Linked DNA regions of Canis lupus familiaris. The protein of the gene in region 1 purifies or fractionates together with the protein of each later gene. This does not show direct contact. Links are inferred from orthologs where the notes say so. Each region holds a gene or a part of one and is shown on either strand. Other genes may lie near its edges. The genes, in order: ASXL1 and OGT.

What was found.
Region 2: the proteins of ASXL1 (region 1) and OGT purify together in Homo sapiens (affinity purification with mass spectrometry; 3 studies listed by BioGRID and IntAct, with this or other methods). This does not show direct contact. The link is inferred for Canis lupus familiaris from reciprocal best matches to the Homo sapiens genes ASXL1 and OGT.

Annotation. Positions count from the first base shown.
Region 1 is NC_049245.1:22,305,123-22,308,091, reverse strand, and holds the end of ASXL1 (polycomb group protein ASXL1), read right to left. Parts: coding exon 1,640-2,969; 3' UTR 633-1,639; downstream 1-632.
Region 2 is NC_049260.1:56,041,157-56,044,981, reverse strand, and holds part of OGT (UDP-N-acetylglucosamine--peptide N-acetylglucosaminyltransferase 110 kDa subunit), read right to left. Parts: intron 3,393-3,825; coding exon 3,267-3,392; intron 2,675-3,266; coding exon 2,504-2,674; intron 2,399-2,503; coding exon 2,282-2,398; intron 2,190-2,281; coding exon 2,019-2,189; intron 1-2,018. UniProt on the Homo sapiens protein: Catalyzes the transfer of a single N-acetylglucosamine from UDP-GlcNAc to a serine or threonine residue in cytoplasmic and nuclear proteins resulting in their modification with a beta-linked N-acetylglucosamine (O-GlcNAc).

The DNA.
Region 1 (2,969 bases):
ACGGGGGTCTTTCGGGTGAAACTTGCTGAGGTCACACCAATTTTCTACTTCACACAGAAGCACTCATACAGGGAGATGGAAGTCAAACGAGGGCTCTCAACTCTGCCGAGTGGAGGAGTAAGAAGGTGGGGAGCAAGGCGAGGGAAGATAACTATGGAGATGTCTACGTGCTGGGAGTGTGTAGTGAGAGAAGCAGGCAACAGGTGTGGCTTTCTTCCCCAACCTGCTATCAAAAGAACACCAAATGGTCCCAGGTATTGAAGGTGGTAACCCTGGAGCCACATCTGGAATGCCTGCTTGGGGCTGCCCAGGGCACTCACCCTTGACTTCAGAGCACTTAACACTGGTGGCGGTGATTTATCACATATGGCAGCGAGAAGCCAGTGGAAGGTCAGAAGAGAAGAGACATGAGGTGAGACACATCTGCTCAGCAGAGCGCAGGTGGGCTGGCTGTGGTTCTGCGGGCCACAGCAGGTCCATTGGGCGACCAGGACAGGGCACTGGGCCACGCTGGCAGATCCCAAGTCAGTTGCTGCACCCTTCTGTCGGGTGGTGGCTCTGACTCAGGCAGAGAAGCACACCACTTTAATGCGATGTTGCCGGAGACGGATAATAAGGGAGAGACACTCGTGTTCTCTGTACAATACATCCATTTACAGAATCGGCCAGTACTGTGTACAACATATAAATACATGATAAAACATTAGAGGTGCATAGAGCATACTTACAGAAGCCAAAAAGTTCACTTTATACATCCAAGGATAAAGAGTTAAAAATATAAAAATAAGAAACACACACTGCTTTGAAATGTAAAATGACTTTCACATACACAGGTGCGTGGAGATGCCCACTCCCACTGAGTCCAAAGTGACAGGGAGGGTGTCAAGCAGAGGAATTCACCTGCCAAACATCTGGACATCTGACTTACAAGGTCTACAGATGGCATTTTAAGAGGAAAGACAACCCTATGCCCAACCCCATTGTCCAAGCAAGTCTATTCAAGGTTTCAAAAGCTCCTGCGGGCCAGTGAATGGTACCAAGACAGGAAAGTCCCAAATTTGCTTCAGCAACAGAACCAAAGGTCAAACTGGCTCCTGTCAAATGGCAAGTGACTGAACTGTGCCCCTGAGGTGAGCAGGTGCTTGGGCCCCCTGGTGGGCACTGCTGGGAGTTACTTTAACCCTGTGCTGGCTTCCCCAGCCATGAACTCCCCCAGGCGGAGCAGCAGAAGGGAAGATGGCAGGGAGGGGGCAGTGGAAGACTGGCAGGTCTACTCAGTTCAGGTAGGTTAGTTCCCCTGATGGAGAACACAACCTTCTTTCTTCAGTTTCAAGTCCCTCTGGGTGTCAAGGTAGGCTCCCCACGCCACACCAGGCTCTGTCTGCATGAGAGCTCAAGCTGGCCAGCCGGCCTTGGGCAGCCCAATGAGTTGCCAGGCAGGAAACCCTTCCAGCAAGACCAGAAGAGTTGGTGAGTGACAGAGGGGCTTTAGCACTACAAATTTTAGGGAAGGGCAAGAGTGCTCTTGCTTAGAGAAACAGAGTCTATTATATCAATGATATTCTGTATACAGGTGTAAGATCAATCATTATCAAAATACACACACTAAATATACAACTTTTCCCATGGCCATAATTTATTATCTCACCACAAGGCACAATACACAGAGCTTTGAGGGTCCAATACAGTCATCGTGACAGAACGCACCACAGCCCTGACACATGATCATGGCTTTCAGGCTGCACGCACACTGGAGTGAGATGCTTTCCACCGTGCTGCTGTCGGTGAACATCTGCAAGGAAAGTGATGCGCTGTGGCTCGCACCAAAGTTTGCTTTGTGGCTCAGCTGCACCACACTTCCAGCAAGGCCTTTGGGAAAGGTGGGGGAGCTGGAGGCATAATTAAAGCTGGTGGAACTTAGCTGGAGTTTGGAAAGCTTCCCATAAAATGCCTGTTTGATATTGAGTTGGGAGGGGATGGAGGAAGGCTCCAGAGGCTGACCAGGCCCTTTCCCAGGCTCTCGGGGTAATTTCCAGAAGGGCAGATCAAGGACAAAGGGCATCCCTTGCAAGTGATCCACTAACTCCCGTGGACCAGGACCAGTGGCATTTCTGTTCTCTGCATTTGCCTTGAGAGGACCCCCCTCAAAAGTCTTCTCGCTCTTGATGCTGCCAACAGAGGCAGGGGGTGGCTTTGGAGCCCAGTCTTCTCTGGTGGTCTGTACCCCACCAGACACAGAGTTTTTGCTTGGCCCCAACTTCCTACTGGGAAAACTGGGAGGGGCATCAGCAGGCAGTGGTGTTGGCTCCATGGGTCTGGGGCACTGAAGGGCTGCAGCCTCATTCCTAGGGCCAAAGAGCTTCTTCCCTTGGCCTCCAGTACTGTTCTGATTACCCAGGGCCCGACCTGTCTGATCAGGATCCAAGGAGATCGCATTTGGAGAAGAGAAACAAGGGTCTCTCGAGGTAGTGAGATTTCCTGGGCTTTTGCCTGGGGCAGCATTTGAATTACTGCGCTGGGATACATCAACGGCTTCCTTCTGATCTTCCAAACTAACAGTAGAGAATCGCTCTTTGGAATCCACTTCTTCTACTTTTCCAGAGGCAGTCGTCAGCTCTGTCACTGGAAATAGGGAGTCTAGACTTGGGACTGTCTTGGAAATCTTCTGGGGTGCTCCAGGAGCATGGGTGGGCTCTAGCCTGGCAAGACTGGTGCCTGCTTCATGGCTGTCAGGTAAAAGAGGCTCCTTTGAAGCTCTTATAGCACGGGGGCTGCTCCTGCCAACTGCACAACTGTTTTCTGCAGAATCCTGCAAAGCTCCTGCTCCCAGGGAGCTGCCAAGGCTCTGCTCTTTCATAAGCGGGAGTCCTGGGGATTCAGGTTTGCTGCTGCCTTGGGCTGGAGGAAGAACCTTCTCTAGGGGCAAGTTACCCTGCAGCAACTGCATCACGAGTGGGTTAGTGGCCTCC
Region 2 (3,825 bases), on another chromosome or scaffold:
AAAGTCAGCAGTATGTGGTATTTTTTAATTAATAAAGAATCCTTGGGGTGCCTGGGTGGCTCAGTCGTTTAGGTGTCTGGCTCCTGGCTTCAGCTCAGGTCATGATCTCAGAGTTGTGGGATCAAACCTGGCATCAAGCTCTGTGCTTAGGATTCTCTCTCTCCCTCTACCCTCCAACCCTGCTTGTGCATATATGTACACGAGCACATGCGCACATATGCTTTCTCTAATAAATAAGTCTTAAAAAAAGAATCCTTAAAATGCCAAATAGTATAACCACTAAAAGTCATGTCATTTGAACTGTGAGAAAATATTCATGACATATTAAGTTCAAGAAAGGAAAAACGTTACGGTATTATCTTAATGGGGGCAAGCGGAAGACTTTACCTTGAAACTTATCACTCAAGCCAAAAAGTTCTTTTCAAAATCTTATTAATCTAACAGCAAGCTTTTGCTCACTTTTTTAATGAATGTCCTTTTCTAAATCACATCCATCCTTGAAAGTTAAATTATTCCTCCAAACCATCTTCACTGTGTCTCCTCACATTGATCACCACTATTTTTAAGTATCTATGTACACAATTATAGTCTTACCTTGCAATTCCCATACATCGAGGTACTGCCTTATATTGTTATCTAACTATTCCAGGTAGGTTTCATACATTTGGGCATCATGTTCTACACCCAAAGTTCTCTGTCCCTGTGTATTTCAAGAACTATATACTTTTTTTTCCTTAGGTCAAACACGCCTATTGTTTCAAATGACAGTTAATCAGAGATTAAGAAAAAATATGGCACTGTCTTTTTAGCCCAATAAACCTTGTAAATGATTATTAATTCCTTTATCTTAACAGGAACTTGCCTGAGAGAAAAAGAGTTCATTTTAAGCATCCATGGTATAAACTGTTATACCACTAAAACTGTTAACTCCTAAGAGAGAGATCCTTGCCTTATAATCTCTTGACAGAGATACATATTCACTTATTCCAATATGCAACATGTTTATTGAACACATACAACATTACTGTGGCTAAGGTATGGGCCCTAAAGTAATTCAATTCAGGGAAGAATACACAAACATAGGGAATTATAACATGCTGTGCTGGATGTAAAAATGCATTTCAAATATTACAAAAGCAGAGAAGACAGGTGCCAATGGAACAGGGAAGGCAAGATTACTAATAGAGACAGGAATAGATCCTGGAGGAGCTGTATGAACTGAAAGTCTTCAAAGGGAGTAAGATTTAACTAAGGGAAAGAATTGAGTTACAGAAGCAAGAAACTGTACGAGGTCTACAGATAATTCACCGCTGATAAGAGGAAAGCTACAGGCAGGAAGTAACATATTATTAACACAGTAGACCCTCATTAAGTGATCTAATGACTGAATCCAAGAGCCTTTTAAAATAAAAGGCTAGGGCAGCTCTTGTGGCGCAGCGGTTTAGCGCCACCTGCAGCCCGGGGTGTGATCCTGGAGACCCGAGATTGGGTCCCACGTCAGGATCCCTGCATGGAGCCTGCTTCTCCCTCTGCCTGTGTCTCTGCCTCTCTCTCTCACTCTGAATAAATAAATAAATAATTTTTTTTTTAAAAAAAAAGAGCACTTCCAAGGAATTTCCAATACAATAAATTACTTATAAAAAATAAAGTAAAATAAAAAATAAAACACTAATAAAAAGCCTTTAAAAATAAAAGGCTTGTAAGATGTCAATTTCCACCACTCATTTCCTCAATATAAGACAGGGATAATGGTGCTTACATCTCCTAGAGTTATTAGATTTAAAGAAGATAAATGAGGGCAGCCCCAGGAGCTCAGAGGTTTAACGCCACCTTCAGCCCAGAGTGTGATCGTGGATATCCAGGATTGGGTCCCACATTGGGCTCCTTGCACGGAGCCTGCTTCTGCCTGTGTCTGTGCCCCCCTCTCTCTCTCTCTCTCATGAATGAATAAATAAAATCTTAAAAAAATAAGATAAATGAATACTTGGTGGTATTATGCTCTATTATTCTCTTCTCACCTGGGTAGTTGCTAGTCCATTGCTAATACTGAATCCATTAATTGTTATCTGAATTTGCCCCCTGTTAATCATCTCGATAACCGCTTCTGCAATAGTATTCATAGGAATAACGGGCATATTAAGAGCTGTATTACTGCTGTCTCCATTGTCTCCTCCGTCAGGACATTTCATCTTTAAGAAAAAAATGACAAGATGTATCATTAGGGAAAAGATCCCAAATGCAGATAACTTTATTTCAATGACGATATTGACCAGGTTCTGACCTTGACAATTTTCACATCCGGCAGACTATCAAGAAATGCTTTGAGGTCAATGCCATTCAGAACAATCCGATTATCATAAATGTGGCCATTGGACTTAAAATCGATGACAGCTTTTTTCTAATCAAAAAAAAGTTTGAGACTCTTTTAGGATGCATAGGGACAACAGCAAGGAAATAAACGACTACAGTTCTTTGCAATGTCCACATAGCACTGTTTTTCTACCTTCAAGTGAGGGAACATATTCGCATGATCACCAATAAAGAAAGTATGGGGCATATAAGCCAGTTTCTCAGAATACTGCTCAGCAACTTCAGCTGGTGAAGTTTCCTGATCAGTGATGATATAATCCATGAAAAGCGCACCACTGGTCCCAGGGTATCCCAGCCACATTGCCTAAAAGATTAAAAAAAAAAAAATCAGGCCAAAAGCTAAAAAGCCTCACCAAAAGAGTTCAAAATAATAAACAAACAAATAAGGAGGGTTGACTTCTTTAGCTAGGAGGAATCAAGTAGTATTTCAGCCTAACCTTCTCAGTGTTAAACGTTTTCCCAATTTAAAAAACCGAACTGTTCGTATTCAACTATGAATTGCATATCTCTATACAAATGTACCTGTGGGCACTGTGTTCTACATTAAAATTTCTTTGTCTTGGGACACCTGGGTGGCTCAGTGGTTGAGCATCTGCCTTTGGTCACAATCCCAGGGTCCTGGGATCTAGTCCCGCATCAGGCTCCCCGCAGGGAGCCTGCTTCTCCCTCTGCCTATGTCTCTGCCCCTCTCTATGTATCGCTCATGCATAAATAAAAATCTTTAAAAATAAAAAATAATAAAATTCATTGTCCCTGTGCATTTCAAGAACTATACTTTTATTAAGTCAAGCATATCTGCCCTATTGTTTTAAATGCCAAGCAACTGGAGGGTGGAAAAAAATCACCATCTTTATAGCTTAATAAACATTGTAAGCAATTACTATTAGTTCCTTTACCTGAATAGGAGCAGGCCTGAGAGCAAAGAGTTCATTTCGAGCACCCTTGGTATAACCATTCATATTGACAAGGATGTGTATACCATCCTGATGGATGCGATCAGCTGCTTTTCCATTGCATGGAATCTATGCAATAAAAAACAGAACTCACTATGTATAATCTCAAACTAATTCAATAAGTTTTAATGGCATTAAATAGAATTCAGAGTCACAGGTACAAAACATAGTAAGAAGACAAATTACATTTATGCAGTATAAAAATATGGTTAAGTCATGAGAGACTCCTGACTCTGTGAAACACAGGGTTGCAGAATGGGAGGTCAGTGGGGGGGTAGAATAACTGGGTGATAGGCATTAAGGAGGGCATATGATGTGATGAGCACTTAGTGTTACGCTATATGTTGGCAAATTGAATTTAAATTTAAAAAATGTGGGGATCCCTGGGTGGCTCAGCGGTTTAGCGCCTGTCTTTGGCCCAGGGCATGATCCTGGAGTCCCGGGATCGAATCCCACATCGGGCTCCTTGCACGGAGCCTCCTTTTCCCTCTGCTTCTCTCTC